3 linked regions of the Notamacropus eugenii genome follow. The protein of the gene in region 1 purifies or fractionates together with the protein of each later gene. This does not show direct contact. Links are inferred from orthologs where the notes say so. Each region holds a gene or a part of one and is shown on either strand. Other genes may lie near its edges.

Region 1 (6,229 bases):
ACACTAGTCTTTTATAAAAAGAAATTCTATACAGGTATATAAGACTCATTCATTATTAATAGCTATCATCCTTCCTTCATAGGCCGCTATCTATAGTTTGGTCTACTTCATCCAAGGATTATGTTTCAGGATGAATAGCCTATGTCTCCACCTACCATTAATTTTGTGATAAGCTATACCACCATCTTTTGCTTAAGATGATGTCTGGCAAAGTTATGACAGTGGGGACGGAGGTACATAGGTATGTACACAAACTGAGGAGAAGACCCTGTTGACGAACTTCTCAACCTTTGATAAAAAGTGTCATAACTTTTAATAATTTTTAATGCATCTTCTATTTCTATTAGAGCCACAGATGTATTTGATTTGCTTCTGGTTGAACTTATTTTGTATTCTAGTTGATCAGGAGAAACCTATGTTTAAGTTACCAGGCCTCCTATTTTCAAATGGCTCATTTGAGTTAAGATTATTTGGATCCAACAGACCTAAGTCTGTGCTACAATACACGAAAATTCAAGAAACAAACTTGTTTTGGATATGACCTTTATTGAACTTATCCACCAGAGTGTAAATAAAAGTCTGTACAAAACCAAATGTTTGTTACTATAACTTCTGCATCACAATTAATATCCAAACAGATTTTTAAAAACAGTCAACTCAATCAAAACCCACTACTTCAGAATCAATAGCTTCTTTGAAGCCACAGTAACACTTAAATATGGTTAAGACTTCAATGCAGAAATTTGGTTAGCTGGAAAGCTAAGTAAGCTTCCAACTTAATCAAAATAGAATTACAAAAAGGCAAAATTGTGGTTTTCACAGAGATACAGTCCACTGGAAATCACCAACACTGGACAGTTGTTAAGAGTATTTAGAGTCCTGAGATAACATGGAATCCAGGCATCCTTTAAACAGTCTTCTGTTGTCCTTTCTTTCCAATCAGAGATTTATGGATGTGTGGAATCACACCTATAAGAGTGTTAGAGGATTAGAAGCTTTCTTTTTTTTTAAGGTTCCATGCAAGTTAACTATTTAAAAGCACCAAAAAAGAATCTCTATTTGCCCTTCTTTAGGTTCTTAACTAAAAGGTTACTTTGTCCAACTGCCATCGAGAGTAGACTCTATCTTGTTAATCCAGTTTGTTTCAGGGAGCTTCCACACACAGTACAAACTGCCTGAATATGAAGGGGCTCTCAAAGTCACTCGTGATTCCTACGCAAGAAGCAAGCGCAAGCCCGACCCAAACTTTGCAAGGTAGGTAAGTGGGCTACGTACCACCCCCGGCAATGGTGGCCTTAATCAGCGAGTCCAATTCCTCGTCCCCACGGATGGCGAGCTGCAAGTGGCGAGGGGTGATGCGCTTCACCTTCAAGTCTTTCGATGCATTTCCTGCCAGCTCCAGGACCTGCGTGGGGAGAGCCGGGATGCGGTTGCCGTCACCGCGTCCCGCACCTCCTCGGCTCTGCTCCGTGCGGGCGCCCCTCCCCGCCCCCCCCACCCCCGCGGCGCCCGGCCCCCTCACCTCTGCAGTCAGATACTCCAGGATGGCTGCGCTGTACACGGCGGCCGTGGCGCCCACGCGTCCGTGGCTCGTCGTCCGCGACTTCAGATGCCGGTGAATGCGGCCCACGGGGAACTTGGAGAAAACACACCCCCGAGAATGCACAATTAAGATCCGGCCGGGCGGGGCCCCTCCCGCCAAATCCCGACCCGGGCACACGTGACTGCCCCGGCCCACGCGCGAGGAGACCCGCCCGCCCGCCCGGAGGGGCCATCCCCACTGACCTGCAAGCCGGCCCTCTGCGAGCGGGAAACCGCCTTTGTCTTGGCCTTTCCGGAGTCCTTCCCAGCCTTCCCGCCAGCCTGGAGGGGGCACACACCCATGCGGGCGGGAGGAGGGGGCGGGGGTGGAGGCGCTCAGCCCGGCCAGGACCCCTCCCCCTCCGCGGGGCCTCCCAACGCCCGGCCGGAGCATGGCCCCGGGCGCGAGCGGGCGGGAGGGGGGGCCGGCGGCGCTCCACCAGCCGCGCGCGGGCCGCCGGGAGCGCGCGCCGCCGCGCACGCGCGCCACCAACCGTCGCCGCCGCCACGAGCCCGGAGGCGGCTCCCTCCCCCCAACCGTCCCCCTCTCCTCTCCGAAGCCGAGCAGGCGCGCGCGCGCGCGCCCCAACCGCCGCTCCCCTCCCCAGTCCCCGGGGGTAACGGCGTCCTCCCCCGCTCCCCTCCCCCTTCTCCAGCCCGCGGAATCCTTCAGGCCCCTGTGCTAAGTTTACCATTTTGAGTTAAGCGTGAACCTCTCCCGCACACACGCTCACGGCCGAGAGTGGACCAAGCAAACACCCGGGCAGAGATCCCGCCGGCTACTGCTCTGGCGCACCGCGATTCAAACTGCGCTGTCTCCCGCCTTCCCCGCTCCCTTTATACTGCAGAATGTTCCCTCATCCGGGAACTCGGATCGCCCCCCGCACCAATGGCTGCCACTCGCCCTGGAGACGCGTCCTCGCCGCCTCAGCCAATGAGCTCGAGAAGCCGGAGGACGTGGGGGCGGGCTTCTCGTCGCTCTAGCGAGAGCTGGTGTCAGGGTGGGGGCGGGGCGGGGGGGGGAAATGAAAGGGAAGGCCGGAGGAAGGGAGGGGGAGAAATGGAGCAAGCGAAGGCGCTCCCGCAGAGCAGCCAGCCAGCCGGCGTCACGTGACTGGGGGCGGCGCGGAGGAAGGGCGCGCGCCGAGGCTCCCCGCCGGGGCGCCCGAGCCTGCCGGGCCCGGCCGACTCCCTTCCCCCACGCCCTTGACTCTGAGACCGGCCAGCGTCGCCCGCTCACCCGGCCGGCCGACGGGGCCCGGAAGACAGCCTCCCCGCGTCCCGACTAGCCGCGGCGGTGCCGTCGATAGGAGCCCGCAGGCCTGCACGGGCCGCAGTAGGGGGTCCCCGCCGAGCCCCGAGGAAGCGGCCACAAAGGAGCGGGGAGCGAGCGGCCGCCGAGCCACCGCCGCAGATGCGCCGCTTCTCTCCCCTCGACGCTCGGCTGCGGGACGTGCACGTCTGCCCCTCGCCGACCGTGGGCACGGCCCGCGGAGTTGGTGCGGGGCCGGCGTCCCCTCCTCGGGCTGCCTCCTTGGCTGCCCGCGACGGTGCGCCGTTCGTTCTCGGAGGCCCGGGCCTGGAGGCTCCGCTTGGGGCTGCTTTGACAAGTCGCCGAGAGGACTCCCCTCCTCCGCGGGGCTGCGGGGGCGAGCTCCCGGTGCTCGGGCGGAGGCCGGCGCGGACCCCCGTGCTGGACAGGGATCGGGCCCTCCCTTCCGCCCGGTACTCGCGGTGGTGCCGGGAGCGCAGCCCAGCCCTGAGAGCTCCGATGGAAACGTGATGCCGTGCAGAGCTGGGGGCGCTGAGCCCGGAACCGGCGCCTGCGGTCCGCCAGGCAGCGTTGCGCACTGGTCACTGCTCTCGTTATTTTGCCGAAAACCGTGTTGGAAGAAGAGAAGTGGGGAGATGCTGGATTTCGCCCTCGCCTCGCTCGCCTCTCCCTGGTCCTGGGATGACCGGCGGGGGACGGTTGTGTTCCCTCCCCGGAGTTCTTCCTGGAACCAGACCGCTTCGGTGGGACTGAGGACCCCAGGATCGTGGCTCCGAGGAGTCCGGCCACGCGGTCTGAAGGTGGCTCCTAGCTCCCCAGGGCATGCCTTTAGACCAGGTGTGGATGTGCTCAGCTCCAACCTGTTGTCGCTAGTGCCAGAACAACTCTGGGCCGATGGACGGGCTGGCCTGGCTCCTGTAGGCGCGGGGAGGACTGCACTTGGATTGTTTCCGTTTTGTCGACATCCAGAGCGATGCCAAGCCTGTCCGCCCTTCGTTATAAACCGTTCCTATCTCATACTACTCCCAACTAGATGGTGCGATGTTTATGTGTTTTGTGTCTCTTATCAGTAAAAATCATTAACACTTGCTGTGCATTCCCTGAAGGACCATGATTTCTGTTTCTTGTGTTTTTCTGGGAGTATCAAACCACTCTGTGAACATAAATATGAGTACGTGTTTAATAAATGTTGGGTGGCTTGTTAACTTCATTGATCTGGCTATTTAGTGAGTTGGGCTAAGAATGGGAAAGGACTTCAGAGGTCAGGGATTAGGAATCCCTGATGTGATCATTGAAGACTGTCTCCCTCCATCTTCATGCAACCTGATTCCAGCCTCTGCTTCTAGGACCTGGTGGCTTGGTATCAACCTGGTACCCTGGAATTTTCAAAGCCCTCCATGTATAACTCAGAACCCAGCCCCAGCGCTAACCTTGCCCCAGTGCTCTCATAGGTAGTCTCCATACCTTTCCCCTTTCCATCTCTAGCTCTTCGATCAGTAATCAAATCAGCTTCCCAGGTCAAAACACCCTTCCAAGGTCACCACTTACCCACTTGTGTTGTCTATTCCTATTAGAATATAAACTCCCTGAGGGCAGAAACAGTTTGCCTTTTTGTATCTCCAGTGCCCTGGAATATAGTAAACACTTAATACACTTTTTTTTAAATTCTTGGAGAACTTACTACTCAGGCAGCCCATTGAGCTTTGGAATGGCTCTCCTTGTTAGAAACCTTTTTCTTCCATCAAACTGGTCTGCCTGCTACTCTGAAGCATATGATCATATAATTTTGAGCTAAAAGAGAATTTAGAGATAATCTAGTGTATTATAGGCCAAGCCTTAAGCAGATTCAAGGTTTAAAATATAACTGGAACATAAAACACAAATGAAAAACCAACTTTACTTAGGCGGGTTTTAAAAGGGCATAATTCCAAAGTTAAAGGGATAGAAAATATTACCTTTGGTAGTCACCACAAACAACCATCATCCAGAAAAGAAGGCATCAATTTACCTCTCCCCCCCCCCCAGGTAATTGCAGAATTGAGGACTCGGTTCCCCCTCAGGGCTAAGCCTCTTTATATTTCAAGGGTCAGAAACCCCACCCTCCCCATCCCTTTCTTCTTAAGGGGCCAATCTACTTTATCAATTGCTTGAGATGCCTAGTGTATGTAGCACTAGAAGGGGCCATGGAGGAGCAAAAAGAAGGGAAGAGTAAAGTGGGAAGGATCAGTCATCCCCAATATCTCATTCACACAAAAACTAATACAGTTCCTTCCACGGAGTTTAGCTCATTCATTTCATAGAGAGGCACCAAAAGGCTCTAGATGGGCTGTGAATCCATCAGTTGCATAAGTAGTGAGCATTAGAGCTTGGATGTCATTTCAGGTTCTCTGACTCCAAAGTCTGACCTCATTAATACACAAATTCTGTGTTGTTCCTAGTTCTGCTAGCCAAGGTGTGGTCTGTCTAACTGTCTAACTCCTCTTCCAAGATCACTCTTCAAGTATTTAACACTGTTATCATTTACATCCAAAGCATTCTCTTCTCTAGACTAAACAGATTTGCCCAACTCCTTCAACCAATCCTTGTATAAAGTGCCAGGCTAGAGTGCCAGACTTGGAGTCGGGAAGACTCACCTTCGTTCAAATGTGGCCTCAGACACTAGTTGGGAGACCCTGTGCAAGTCTCTTAACCCTGTTTGTCTCAGTTTCTCATCTGGAAAATGAACTGGAGAAGGAAATGACAAACCACTCCAGTATCTTTACCAAGAAAACCCCAAATGGAGTCATGGAGAGTTGGACATGACCAAAAAATGACTGAGAGAGACATATTCGATAAGAATGACAGCTATACCTTCATACAAGTCTTGAGAAATTGAGAGCATTCCTGTTCAATATATAATTTATTCAAGTCTGATACAGTTTTAGACTTTTGATTGAACAAAATTACAAAAATATTTGAGGGCCCAACAGTATGGACAGATCTAAAAAAACATATCATTCCTATATTCCAGGTCCTTACTTGAAAGCTAGATTAGAGAACTAGAAAGACATATGACAAGTGGGATGCCAGTGTAACAATACAAGAGCTCAGTTAAAAGACCATTATTATAATAGTCTAAGTGTGAAGTAACAGGATCCTGAACTATGGTTGTGACAGAGGGAAGAAAAAGAAAGTGAAAGAAAAAATTAATAGGATTTAGCATCTGATTAGATAATAGAAAGGGAAGGAAGGGGGGAAGAAGGTGTGTCCAGAATGACTCAGGTTTCCAATCTAGATGACTAGCACAGCCATGATGCTGCTGTCAACAGAAATAGGGCCATCCTGAGTAGGATCAAGCAGAAGATGAATTCCATCTTAGATATGTCCATTTAAAGT
Region 2 (7,310 bases), on another chromosome or scaffold:
CAATCAGATGAAGGAGATAGGATGTTTAGTCTAGAGAAAACTAAGGGAGGATGTGGTAACTGCCCTCAAGTACCTGAAAGGCTCTCATGTGGAAAAGGAGTATTTGTTGAAAAGGATTATTTGTTTGGCTTTGTCCCAGAGGAGAGGAATGGGAGCAAAGAATGCAACAAACAGAAAAGCAGATTAATATTAAATGTAAAGAAATATCTCCTAACCATTGGCACTATCCTAGAACAGGAATGTGCTGTATGTGATGAGTTCCCCATCAATGGAAGCATTCAGTCAGAAGGCTGAGTAAAGCACTTGTCAGGAACACTGTGGAGGGGATTCCTATTTGGGCACAGGTTGGACTAGATGAACTCTTGAGATCCCTGGCCAACTCTATGATTCCTCTAAATCTTCGGGATCTGTTTTAAGACGAACTGCTGTTTCATGTGAACCATTCCATTCTGTACCCATACAGTTTAAGTTTTTAACCCTGGAGCTGTATTTTACATTTATGTCTATTAAATTTCATGATACATCAATAGGCCAAAAATTTTGAAGCCTAAGTATCTCATCCAAAACTTTCTCTTAGCTTAGGGTTATTTACAAATTCTATAAATAAGGTATATCTGTGCCTTCATCCCCATCTTTGATGAAAACTATAGAACAGCAAGAAACAGAAGACAGAGCCCCAGGTGAGGAGATCTATTAACCCAACATTTTTTGGATAAAAGGCTCCATCTAGATTTCCGCTTAACTATGCTATCATGGAGCTCTCTTCATCTGTATATAAAGATCTCATAAAGAACTGTTATACCCTTTACAGAAATCTGGGTTCACTATGGCTAAAGCATTCCCTTGACAACCTCTTTAAAAAAAGAACAAACCAAACATGGAATGCAAAGAACACCAAGCTTGGAGTCAGATGACCTCAATTTAAATCCAGACTTTTTTGCTTACTACTTATGTAACCCTGAGTAAATCACAACTTTCTGGACCTGCTTTTCCTTATACATACTATAAAAAGGCTAGACCACATGACCTTTACAGCTCTAAATTTATTTGCCCCATCCAACTCTAAATTTATGATCCTAAGAAATGAAGTCAGTCTGGCATAATAATAACAATTGCTAGCCTAGCGTTTATATCATGCTACTATGTACCAGCAGCTGTGTTAAGTAAGCACTTTACAAATGTTACCTCACTTCATCTTCACAAGAACCAGGGGAAGTTGTTGGGGAATCTGAGGCAGAGGCCAAGGGACTTGCCCAGGATCACACAGCTAGTGTGCGAGGTTGGATTTGAATTCGTCTCCCTGACTCCAAGTCCAGTGCTCTACCAACTGAGCCACCAACTGCCTCTTGTTCTTGGTAATTACCATCACTTGTTCGCATGTAATTATATGTTCACTCTGCTCATCACTTCCCTAGTGTTCACAAACTGATTGTTTAAATAACCTCCAAACTGCTTAGGGACCCTTCTCAATCTCCTCACGGATAAGAACACTACCCCTGTAGTCCAAAAGACCCAAAGATTGAATCTCACTTCAGACCTTTATTAGTGCTATGACTCAGAATCAAATCTGTAAAGGAACTATGCAGCGCAACTTGAAGTCACCAAGACCTAAGGTCAAATCTGACCTCAGATACTTACCCTCTCTGTGTTTCAGGTTTCAGGTTTCCCATCTGTAAATATGGTTGTTGTGGGGATAAAATAAGAGTATACTTGTAAAGTGCTTCATAAATGCTTATGATTATTTGATCTCTTGGAGCCTCAGTTTTCAGTTACCTCATCTATAAATGAGGATGGTAACAGCACCTATCTCATAGGACTGTGTTGGACTTAATGAAGGATCTGGCACATAGTTGTTTGTCCTTCCTTCTCCATGACATCAGGAAGGTGATGTCATGATGCACAAGTTAATTGGATTTAAGTGAGGAAGGGCTGTGCAAAATCACCAGCCTCACTTTATCCTTCAGAGTCATCTGGGTCTGGGTCAGGCAGGTGGTGCAGGGGAGAGAGCACTGGTCCTGGAGTCCAGAGGATCTGAGTTCAAATCTGCCCTCAGGCACTTACTATATCTGTGTGACCCTGGGCAAGTCACTTAACCCTGAGTGCCTCCTCCACCAAAAACACAATCACTGGAACCTCCTGGCACATAATAAGCATAAATGGCAGCCCTTGTAATCCTAGTTATATGGTGTTTGGCAATCTTTAAAATTTACTGTAATTTCTAACGGAATAGAGGATGATGATCATTACGGCTAGCATGAAGCGCCTTCCAAATATTCTTTCATTTATTCCCCCAACAACCCTGGGAGGTAAGTGCTATTATGAAATAATACTTATAAAGCACTCCATAAACGCTGGCTATTGGTGTCGTCATCATCATCCCCACTGCGGACAGATGAGGAAACTGAGGCAGGCGGGAGGGAAGTCACTTGCTCAGGGCCACACGGCTGATGAATGTCAGAGGCTGCACTGGAACCCAGGCCTAGCGGATGCCTGATGCCCCGGCCGGGGAAGGATCCAGAAATACCGGCCTGGGCCTCCTCTCCCGACAGCTGTCCCAGGCAGGGGCAGCGGAGGGCGAAGGCCGAGGGGAGCCCCTCCCCCCTGCTCGCCACTCTCCGATCCCCCTCCCCCTCCCCCGGCCCTTTTTCAGACCCCTTCGCGCAGCCCCGCCCCCTCCCTGGGCCCAGCTCTTGCCTCTGTGAACCCCCCATAAGTGGTCTGGTAGAATTCATCTTCCTCCTCTGCCTCCAAGAGCCCAGACAATCGGTTCCCAGCGGTCTTCCGGGGTGCTCGGCCCCCAGCCAAGCTCATCCCTCCTCCGGCTCCAGCCGTCACCGGCGGCGGACCCGAGCTCGCTCGGCGCTCGGTGCTTTCCGCCTGCCTAGCGTCGCCGCCGGAAAGGAGAAATCGTTACAGGCAGAAGCAGCCGAGCGCCGAGCTGAGGATAGAGCCGAGCTCCGGAGCGGCCCCGCCCTGCTCCTCCACCCCTCCCTCTCCGTAGCCCGGCCTCCTGGCACGGAGCCTCGACAGCTCCGCCCCCTTCCCTCTAGGGCCGCCTACTTCTCCTCTCCCCGCCCCTCAAGCTCTCAGCAATTTCCAGTAAACTAGGACGTGAGAGGCACTGGGTCTGGGTTCAATCCGTTTTTGGGTGGTGGCATTAGAGTTGGAAGAGTGTGTCATTCAGCCTCTTTTAAAAGAACAGAAACGGTCACCCAGCGAATCAGTGTCAGAAAGGCTTCTCATCCCCAGGCTGGGGCTCTAGCACAAGGCGCAGACGTCTGCCAAAGCAGGGTTTGTCAACAAAGCTGTTAAAAGTGATGTGGGGACGAGGTCGAAACGAGGAAATGCTTATGTAAAATAATGCTACAGATATAGAACATGGGCATGAAAATGGCACCTGTCATACGCCTGGTGTGGAAATCAAGATAATATTTTAAAGCGCTTGGCACGGTGCCTGACATAATAAGACCTATATATAAAAGTCAACCATTATTATCATTATTGTACAAGGCTCTTTGAGATCTTTTATGTTCATTATAATTCCTCTGGAAATGATGATGAAGATAGCATTTGTACGTAGCACTTTAAGGTTTGCTATGTATATATACACATAGATGTATGTGTACAGCATATATAAAAACACATGCACGTGTATATATAACACAGTATTACAATAACTAGCTTCTTTTAAGCCTCGGAGGGCATGCAAGGTCCCTATGATTTTTCTTCTCTTCAGCTTTAGGGAGAATATTTCAGATGAAAAGTTATAAATTCAGTCACAATTGCTTCAAGCTCCTAAGTAAAAAAATTCCTAACATTGAGATAGAGATTGGACTATTTGTCTAACTTCATATATACATATATGTACATGTACATATACATATATAATATAATGTTAATATATTCAGTAATTAACATGCAGGCATATATTATATATACACATGTAGTTAACCCATAGCCTCTTTATTATTTAGGCAAAATTCAATTTACTAGAAATATTCGAGTAACAATACAGCAGCTTATACTGTAGTGTCTGTGGATAGACCAGCATGAAGTAAGTAGTCCCTGTTCAGACTTGATTCTGCCTGATTGATTCAATCAAGACGTGTTCTTACCTTAAAAAAAAAAAAAAAGCAGTTACTTTTAATTGGGTGAGGTAAATCAGTGGAGTCTGACCCTTATTCGGATGTATAAAGATCAAAAGATAATTTCACAGAATTGCAGAGATTTAGAGCTGGAAAAGATATCACAGTGGGCAAACTAGTCCAACCTGTATGGGATAACTAGGTTAGAGTTTAATGCTATATTTTTCCTGTAAATTTACTTCAACTTTGTAATTTTTAAAAACATAATTGAGGGGAAAAAAAGATTCCTAAGCTTCTTGCCTCTCCTCCATCCCTTCCACCTGTTCTTAATCCAATATGTTTTGGAGATCAATCAACAATGCCAAACTGTCTCTCATATATACGGGATTATTTCTATGATTCTTTTTAGAGGTATCATGCCATTTTCCCTTTTCTAGTGGAAATGGAGATTAGCTCCTTTTCCTACTTCCTAAGGAGTGCAAAACCAATCTGCCCTACCCTTTCCCCCACACCCTGCCACATCATCCTGTGTCCTCATGTGCTATGCCAGGAATGTTGCTAGGGAAGATCAGGGATATGACTCAAACAGAACGTTGCAGAGAAGAGGGTGGGGGGGCTGCCTTGCCTGAAGAGCATACTGCCCCTGCATGAGTCAAGATTGAGAAGGAGGAATCCTTCATTATGTCCTTGCCCATTCCCTGACCTCTCTTGTTTAGTTATGAATATATAATTACTCTTTACTCTGATTCCTTTTCTAATACATGGAGAGAAAATTAAATTTCCTAGGCCAGAAAGAAACTGGTAGACAGAGGCGGTTTTTGTCATTCAAATCCCACTCTCTTCTGGATCCAGAGGTATTGCTGAGGGTGATGAGTTTCCTTCATATGGCTGGATTCCACTTTGGTTAGAGTCATGGAGATATGTCCAACTTTAATTTAATCTCAGTTTTATTCTCATATCTGCTGATTGTAGAAGTGACTCACTATATGAAAGAAACCCTAGCCTCCTTGGGCAGTATTATTTTCTCTGTGAGAATTTTCATAGGCATGTAGAATCTGTTTTCAAAATCTCCTACTCTCGTACCAGCTCACAGGATCATATCCAGTCCTCTCCTTTTATAGGTGAAATAGCAGAACCCTGGAAAGGTTATGGACAGCTGGTGGTACAGTGGGTAGAACATAGGGCTTCAAGTCAGGAAGACTCATCTTCCTGAGTTCAAATTTGGCTTCAGACACTTACTAGTTTGTGTGACCCTGGGCAAGTCACTTAACCCTGTTGGCCTCAGTTTCCTCATCTGTCAAATGAGCTGGAAATGGCAAGCCACTCCAGCATCTTTGCCAAGTAAACCCTAAAAGGGGTCACGAAGAATCGGGCATAATCTAACAAGAACAGAAAATTTAAATAATTTAGTTAAAGCTAGTCCAGCCAGGACCATAACTCAAGTCCCCTGTCTGAATCTAAATTCAGTAATTTTTCCAATATACCAAACTACCCTCCCTCTTCCCTCCTTTGCAAAGCTTGGTATGGGCAACCCATTATTTGGGGGGAAACCAAAACAAACAAACAAAACCAAAAAGTCCAGTAGATGGCAGCAAGGAGCAATTACTATAGTTCCTGACTTCTCCTAGGCGTAAGAGATAGCAAAGTTCATTTGGTGCATATTGGTTGGTTGTTGTCCTTCCTTCTCCAAGACCAAAATGACATCACTATGTTAGAGTCAGGTTACAATGCCTCTAACTGTGGCTGATCAGACCCACTCAAGCTCGAATTGTTCTAATACAGATCGGACACAAATATTCTATGTGAATATTTGGGGTGGATTCTGTAAATGTGTAAATACACATCTTGCATTTTTTTTTTTTTTTTAGTAATTTCAATTTTGCTTTGCTCATAGAGCACAGCACACTTTCTGATGTGCGCACACCATGCTGGGTGGTCCTGTGCCAGTGTCTCCCATGTCACACAATCAATTCCAAAGTTCTTTTTTTGTTTGGTTGGTTTTTTAAATTAATTTTTAGTTTTCAACATTCACTTTTATAAGATTTTGAGTTCTAAATTTCCTCTCTCTCCCCTCTCTCCTCTCCAAGACAACATACCATCTGATACATATACAATCATCTTACACATATTTCCGCACTAGTCATTTTGTGAAAGAAGAATCAGAACAAAAGGGAAAAACCATGAACAAAAATGAACAAAAAAGAAGAAAAAATAGTATGCTTTGAACTGCATTCAGACTGTAGTTCTTTCTCTGGATATGGATAGCGTTTTTCATTAGTCTTTTGGCAATTCCAAAGTTCTTAGGAAAGACATTGTACTGTTTCTTCAGACCACCATGTGAATACTTGCCCTGTGTGAGTTCTCCATAAAACAGTCTTTTAGGCAAGTGTACATTTGGTAATTGAACAATGTGATCAGTCTGTTGAACTTTCACTCTGCAGTAGAGCTTGGCAGTTTAGTCTTAGGAAGGACCTCAGGGTCCAGTACCTTATCCTGCCAGGTGATCTTCAGAATCTTCCTAAGACAATTCAAATGGAAGCGATTCAGTTTCCTGCCATGGAGCTGGTAAAGTGTCCATGTTTCACAAGCATAGAACCGTGAGGTCAGCACAATCAGTCTGTAGACCTTCAGTTTGATAGTCTAATATCTTTTCTTTCCCACTCTTTCCTTGGGAGCCTCCCAAACACTGAGCAAAGTTCTGGCAACGCGAGCTCCAATCTCATGATCAATATGTACATCTCTAGAAAGCATACTGCCAAGGTAAGCTTATATAATCGTGGGGTAAATGAATATAGGGAAGAAAAGATCTTCTCCCTTCTCCAAATTTCCACAATACTTCTGGCAGACTTTGTTGGAACCGAATGGACAAAGACGACAGGATGGAAATGTCAGCGAACTCTCTGTCTTGTGCCTATTTTCCTTTGAACCTACAAGAACTCTTGGCTGAGAACAGGAGCTGCGTGATGGCTTTTGGATGGGGTTAGATGACCTGTGATAGGACCCACTGACCACGGCCTTCTGACCCCGGCGATCTGCACTCATTCAGAAGCTTTGCTTGGCCAGTATGTGATCGGGTGTGTTCCGAAGCTTGTGGGAGAGGCCTGACAGCTTCGGAATGAGTCTAATAAACGTGTCGCGAATGAATGAATACGCGGGAAGATGATCCTGAGGAACATCAGGAGGGAGGGCCCCACGTAGATCTCGGAGGCGGGGCTCTTGGAACTT
Region 3 (7,013 bases), on another chromosome or scaffold:
ACTCTAACATCTGTGGTGGAAGGGCCAGCAAGGATCTGCCCAATGAGTAAAGCATTCACAATGGGAGAGGTAGACAGATAGAGGGGATCAGATTAGGAAGGGATAGACAAGGGACCTAGGCTTTCATTCCAGAGGCTCTTCTGCAGATGCATAAAATGATATCCATGATAGAAGCACAACATGGCGGTAGTCTACATGGTAAACTAGACACAGCAGCCCAGATTGCTACAAGGCCTGTCATCAATTACTTCTGACCAAAAAGCTAGATGAGAAGGATGCTCCCTAGAAGTCTACTTTGATATAATGTTGTATTACCACAGAGAATGTGATGTCTTGAAGCACTGTTGTAAGTATTACTGGACCAGAAAGAAGCTGGGAATAAAAATCACTGGGACAGAGAGTTCACCAAGGAAGCATGTCTAAAAATCCCAGTTTTGGGGAACAGCTCTGATCCAGTTCCTCCCTTATCCAAAACCTACTTCAACGGTTCACAAACACCTTGAGATGAAGCCCAAACTTCCTAGTCAAGCTCAAGACCTTCCACAATTTACCACGCCAGTTTCATTTCTGACTTCTCCCCTTCTTTTTTCTCCCCTGAGGCTTTGCTAATACTTCCTCTGCCTGCAATGCCCTCCTACCCCATCCTGCTAGCCAATGGCTCCCCTTTCAATGTCACCCCAAAATGCTTGCACAGAAAGCAGAGGGAGATGTTTACAGAGACTCTAAGACGTGCAAAGTGTTCCATATTTTTCCACTTGATTATCATGGCAACCCTATGAAAAGGATACTACAGGTGATATTATCCCTGCATCACTCTTGGCTTGCCCATGGTCACATTTAGTAAGGGCTGGATGTGCTGGGCAGAAAATGAAGGTCTCCACTTCTAAAAGACTCATGATGGAAAGTGCTATCCACATCCAGAGAAGAACTGCAGAGCTGGAAAGATGATCAAAGCATGATTATCTCCCTTTTGTTTCTTCTTTCTTGTGGTTTTTCCCTTTAGATCTAATTCTTCTTTACAACATGACGAATGTGGAAATACGTTTAATAAGAATGTATATGTAGAGCCTACATGAGACTGCACACCATATTGGGAAGGGGGAAATGGAGGGAGGGGGAGAAAATTTAGAACTCATAGAAGTGAATGTTGAAAACTAAAAACAAATAAATAAAATCCAAAAAAGAAAAGAAAATCAAGGTCTCTCCTCAAAGCTTTCCTGATGTCCTAACCAAAAGTAATTCTTCTCTCCCAGATTTTCTCATGGCATTTTGCAGACAACACTTCTATAGAGCTCACCTGCCTTGTTTTACAGGTATTTGTGTATATGTCTCATGATCCGGGTTCTTTGAGGAGCGTATATATTTTTAAATGTCTATGATGTCCTGCACATAGTAGGTGATCAGATGTCTGTGACAGAAATGCGGAGGAAAGGATGTGTGCCAGGGGCATAAAGATCTCTCAATGTTAAACTGTTTGCCCAGATTCTTAGAAGACCACTGGAGCTTCAAAACTTGCTGCTTGTCAGTCAGCACATCCTGACTGTGCACATGCACCCGCTAGCACGGAAAGGCAGCAGGGACAGAAGACAGAAGATGGAAGGGTGGAGGGGGACAGGGACCCCCTGCTGACAGCGCGGTCCGCGTGTCACCCAAAGGCAGCGGGGACAGAGGACAGAAGATGGAAGGGAGGAGGGGGACCGGGACCCCCTGCTGACAGCGCGGTCCGCATGTCACCCAAAGGCAGCGGGGACAGAGGATAGAAGATGAAAGGGAGGACGGGGACAGGGACCCCCTGCTGACAGCGCGGTCCGCATGTCACCCAAAGGCAGCGGGGACAGAGGATAGAAGATGGAAGGGAGGAGGGGGACAGGGACCCCCTGCTGACAGCGCAGTCTGCGTTCTTCCAGAGTATACACGGGCCTTCCAGTCACGTAGCATGTTAACACGACACATCGCATGTCCGAGACAACCCTGGGAGGCAGCAAAGCCCCAGGCTGTCCGGGGCGGGGGGGGGGGGGGGGGGGGGGCCGGCACGGGGCAGGGGGGACGAGGACCCGGGGGCCAGTCTGTAGAAAGATGCCTTTATTAAATGTTTACTGTACGGTAGGGAAAAATAAGGAAGACAGACAATACACCTGCCCACAAAGCTCCCATCCCAAGGCGGGGAGGAGAGACAACAATTGTGAGAGGGTCTATAAAGTAACCTTAACCATAAAGGGGGGAAAGGAAACCGGCCTCGAAGGAAGCTGGGGAAAGTAGCCAGGGGCGGGGGTGGGGAGGAAAGGAAGGCATTCCTGGCATGGGGAACGGCCAGTGCAAAGGCAAGGAGTCTGGAAAGACATGCGTGGCTGCGTCAGTGGGCCAGGACCTCCAGGGGTGCAGGGCCCGTTTCAGCTTGCACCCCCACACGGGACCCGAGTCGGCTGTCTGCTAGTCCTGACATCTTGCCGAGACCTGCCGTCTCTGGCCTCAGTTTCCTCTTCGGGTGGTGAAGCTCGGAGGCCCCTCCCAGCGGGTCACTCAGTCCAGGACCCCGGCCGCCACGTGCGTAGGCGGGACTTCCGGCTACAAACACAACAACTCCCCTACTTCCGGGCCCTCTGAAGCCGCCAAAAAATCGACTACGGAGTCTCCCTTCCCCTTCAAAGGCGGGAAGCTCAGGGGCGCTGACGAGCCTCCCCCGGCGCCAGGTGCGCCCACCCCTCCTCTCCCCCGGCCGAGAAGCGGCCGCTCACCTGACGCTGTCGTGGCTGTAACCGATCTTGGCGTTGTAGGCCCCGTTATCCAGCACCAGCGTCGCCATTATCCCTCCGCCCGCAGAGGAAGCTACTGCGCAGGCGCCGTTTTCGCGGGAGGAGGCCCTCTCTTTCCGATCCTCCGGCCCGTCACTACTCTATGGTCTGGCCTGGCGGAGAGCGCCGCTCTCGGCTGGGTGGAGTCTTTTCGCGGCGTTCCCCCATCACGTGGTGAGGAGGGGGCGGCAGATGCTCCGCGCCTGCGCAGTGAGGAGGAGTGAAGTGGGATGTCCGTGTGGAGGAAAAAAGTGAAGGCGGGAACGGGAGGGGGGCGTGTCTCTCTGCGCCTTTCTTCGTGGGATCCTAGGTCCAGAGGAGGAAGGGGCCTTGCAGGCCCTCTAGGCCTCTCCGGCGTGAGACCGAGGGAGCCGGAGCTGGAACGAGTGAATGAACGGAGCGTTTACGAGTGCCCGAGTGCCGGGCACGTCCTGGGGGTACTGACGGAAGCAGGGGAAAAGCGCGGCTTCCGTCCTTTTTTTACACTCAAGTGGAATTCACGCGGAATCCGAAAGGCCGGATTCCAATTCCCCCTGTGGGCGAGTCACAGCCCCTGCCTCAGTTTCCCCATCTGTAAAATGGGGGTGACCAGAGCGCCTCCCCGCCCCCCCCAGGTTATTGTGAGTAAAGGGCTTGGCCGCCTTACAGCGCTGGAGGATCGGTGACGTGCGGGCCAGGCCTCTCTGTCTCCTCTGGGGCTACACGTGGGTCAGGCCCACGAGGGCACCCTGGCCTTCTTAACGCCCATTCAGTCATCAAAGGCTGGGGAAGGATCGAGGCAAACAGAGCCTCCTTCGCCTTCACAGAGGAATCAGGAAGGGAAGACCCCCCGCTGTTACCACATGAGTGGGGCAGGACCGCGGAGATGTGGGGTGCAGAAGGTGGGAAGGTCACCCTGGCTGAGCTGCGCCTGGCTGGTGTGGGTATCCCCTGGAGTGGAGGTCCCCAACCTGAGGAAGAGACCTCAAGGGTGCAGAACCAGCGCCCACCTGGAGGAAGGCTGCTGGGGAGGAGGGGCACATGCTGTATCCATCCATTGAGCAGCAGAGTTGTGCAGAAAGGTTCGTCAGTTTCAATAAATGTATCTGTCCCGGAATAAGTGTGTTCATCCTTTGATGCCAAAGAAGACCGTGCCATCAGAGGAATGAGGACGTGACTTGAACTTGACTTTGTATTCAGTGAGGGAGGGCTGTGCAGGTCACCAGCCTCACTTCTCCAGAGACATCTGGATCCAGTGACCAGATATTCATCAGGATGACTGGAGATGACCCAGGAGGAGGCAATTGGGGTTAAGTGACTTGCCCAAGGTCACACAGCTAGTGAGTGCCAAGTGTCTGAGGTGAGATTTGAACTCAGGTCCTCCTGACTCCTGCACTGGTGCTCTCTCCGCTGCACCACCTAGCTGCCCTCCCAGAATAAGTAGATAGTTGAGTGAGGATGAGCTGGGTTCAGGGATTTTTGCCTCTGACATATCCAGACAGGTATCCAGAGACTTGAGTAAGTCAAGTCTCCCATCCACCCAGGAACCTTTCCAAGACTATCTGCCGCAGAAAAGGTACTGATCTCTATTGATAAAGGAAGTTCCTCGTTGAGTGCTCTCCACTTTCAAGAAATCATAGGGTCAGTTAAAAAATAAAATTCTCTAAAGATAGAGGCAGTTTTCCTCACGAGGAGTGGCCTGTACCAATGAATTCACAGATTGGACCACTTCCTCCCTTTCTGTGTGTTTCCCTCTCTCCATCTCCCTCCCTTTGTTTCCCTTTCTTTTCTCCTCCCTTCTTTCTCTCTCTGTCTCTACACACATACACACACACACGCATTTTAATTCAAATCCACCGAGGCATCATTTTTTTCAAGTCAAATTACCACATCCACATGGCAAATGTATGCCTGCAGGATAAAGTCATACAGTTATAGAACTTCAGAGCTGGCAGCAATCACAAAGATAAATTGGTTGAACCCCTACATTTTACAGATGAGTGAACCCAGAGCCGGGGAAGTGACATGATTCACTTGGGTTCTTCAAGCTAATTAGTGGTATGGTGTGTTGAATATTGTGAAAGTGCTTTGCTAGAAGGAAAATAATCTGTTGGATAAATGTCCTGGAAAGTAAAGGAAATGCCTTTCACTGAAGAAAAAACTGGGCTATGAGAGCAAAGTGCAACACATTTCATCAGACATAGTAGGTATGTTGGTTTTACTGAACTGTTTTTGGTTTTTCTTTTTTTATCTTTCTTATAAGGGCAAACTTAAAATGGGAAGGGGTATGTTCAGAAATAAAACCAATGGAAAAGCCAAAAAAAAATTAACAAGAAAGTATAAAAGAAGAAAGGGAAGTTTATGACATACTTAAGATGGAGAAAAAATAACTTTGAGGAAATGATTTTCAAGTCCACCAAAAATAAAATTAAAAAAAACAAACCTAAAGCTGACTGTTACAGCCTGCCTTTCCCCATCTTGTTAATGCTAGTGCCTTCGCTGTGCTGATTATTTCTGTTTTTTTCCTATTTTGTTTGTACATGGTAACTGACATGCTGTTTACTCCATTAGATTATCAGCTTCTTGAGGGCAGGTCCAATTTTTGCCTCTCTATTCCCAGTAGACATATAGTAGACACTAAATAAATGCTCCTTGGCTTTACTTGAGTTGACATTTCTACCTGCTGAAATCATTCCATTCTTTCAACAGTAGCCAAAGAATCAAACCCTGACATTGTGTGGTTATCAGGACCAGGCTTGGTCCAATGGGAGGCATAAGAAAGTGCACTGAGTTCCCTTTGTGATGAGATTGAAAACTCTAAGTGTAGACTGAATTGTATCCTGTGGTCTTGTTGATGTATTCATTACTCTTGCTGAGCTGGTTTTCACCTTTTCTTCTGTTCTGCAGTCATTCATTCAGTGGACACTTCCAGCTCTGGGTCTGTGATCCTGTCCTCTCCCTGGGCTTCTGTTTGCATAGGACTTCATGGCCTCCAGGGCCTCCTCCTCTGATCATGGAACATGTTGAGGAAAATAAGGAAAGAGGGAATAGGTATATTGGAAAATAAAGGTAATATACAAACAGAAAACCATCAATTTTTTAAAATTTAACTCTTCCCCTATTTCAAGCCCAGCAGAACCTCAGGAAGCTTTTCCCAGTTACCCCCCCCCCCTTAGATGTTATACCCTACATCCTTTGTCTTCCCCCATACTACAATATGAGCTCTTGAATTAATGAAATAGTTAAAATATATAAGGCATTTTAAGATTTGTAAAACACTTTAAAAATTTCCTGATTTGAGCCATGCAACCCTGGGAGAGAGGTACCAATGTTATCCCCATTTTTCAGAAGGAAAAATGAGGCTGATGAGGTTAAGTGACTTTCCCACAGTCACATACAAGCTAGTATACATTTGAGACAGGATAGAACACAGACTCTAAGCCTACCACTCTATTCCATATGCCATCTAATTGCCAATTAGTGGGATAAATGAAAAAAGTAACTTGAACTTATTAAGCGCCTACTATGTGCCAGGCAGAACAACTAGGGGCCCAAAGTAGAGAGTGCCAAGCCTGGAGTCAGGAAGACTCCTCTTCCTGATTTCAAATCCGGCCTTAGACCCTTACTAACCATGTGTCCCTGAGTAAGTCACTTAACCCTGTTTGCCTCAGTTTCCTCATCTGTCCAATGCGCTGAAGAAACAATTGGCAAACCACTCCAGTATTTTTGCCAAGAAAACCCCAAACAGGGTCAGGAAGAGTTGGACATGAATGAAAACTCAATAAAAATATGCCAGGTACTCTGCAAAGTGCTGGAATAGAAAGGCCAAAAAAAAAAAGTCCTTGCTCTCAGGAAGCTCTTAGTTTAATGGGGGGAGGTGACATGTAAACAACAGTGTATATATAAAAGACAGGATAAATTGGGAGCAGTCTCAGAGGGAAGACACTAAGATTAAGGAGGGCTGGGAAAGATTTCTTGCAGAAAGTGGCACTTTAGTTGAGACTCCAAGCAAGTCAAGGAACTTAGGCAGAGATGAGGTGGGATAGTGTTCCAGGCATGGAGAACAGCCAGTGAAAATGCCCAGTCAGGAGATGAAGCAGCAAGGAGGCCAATGTCACTGGATCAAAGGAAATATGGTGGGAATAAAGTGTAAGAAGATTGAAAAACTAGAAAAGGCCCAGGTTATGAAAAGCTTTAAAAGCTAAACAGAAGGTTCTATATTTGACCCTAGAGGTAATAGGG

Evidence for each region. Proteins that work in one complex are often made in the same cells at the same time.
Region 2: the proteins of H2AZ1 (region 1) and VPS72 purify together in Homo sapiens (affinity purification with mass spectrometry; 4 studies listed by BioGRID and IntAct, with this or other methods). This does not show direct contact. The link is inferred for Notamacropus eugenii from reciprocal best matches to the Homo sapiens genes H2AZ1 and VPS72.
Region 3: the proteins of H2AZ1 (region 1) and ACTR6 purify together in Homo sapiens (affinity purification with mass spectrometry; 4 studies listed by BioGRID and IntAct, with this or other methods). This does not show direct contact. The link is inferred for Notamacropus eugenii from reciprocal best matches to the Homo sapiens genes H2AZ1 and ACTR6.

What each region holds. Positions count from the first base shown.
Region 1 is NC_092878.1:137,931,105-137,937,333, forward strand, and holds H2AZ1 (histone H2A.Z), read right to left. Parts: upstream 1,900-6,229; 5' UTR 1,885-1,899; coding exon 1,786-1,884; intron 1,637-1,785; coding exon 1,523-1,636; intron 1,406-1,522; coding exon 1,276-1,405; intron 970-1,275; coding exon 908-969; 3' UTR 527-907; downstream 1-526. UniProt on the Homo sapiens protein: Variant histone H2A which replaces conventional H2A in a subset of nucleosomes. Nucleosomes wrap and compact DNA into chromatin, limiting DNA accessibility to the cellular machineries which require DNA as a template.
Region 2 is NC_092873.1:305,027,764-305,035,073, forward strand, and holds the start of VPS72 (vacuolar protein sorting-associated protein 72 homolog), read right to left. Parts: upstream 3,018-7,310; 5' UTR 2,812-3,017; coding exon 2,695-2,811; intron 1-2,694. UniProt on the Homo sapiens protein: Deposition-and-exchange histone chaperone specific for H2AZ1, specifically chaperones H2AZ1 and deposits it into nucleosomes.
Region 3 is NC_092874.1:283,108,113-283,115,125, reverse strand, and holds the start of ACTR6 (actin-related protein 6), read right to left. Parts: upstream 3,018-7,013; 5' UTR 2,804-3,017; coding exon 2,736-2,803; intron 1-2,735. UniProt on the Homo sapiens protein: Required for formation and/or maintenance of proper nucleolar structure and function. Plays a dual role in the regulation of ribosomal DNA (rDNA) transcription.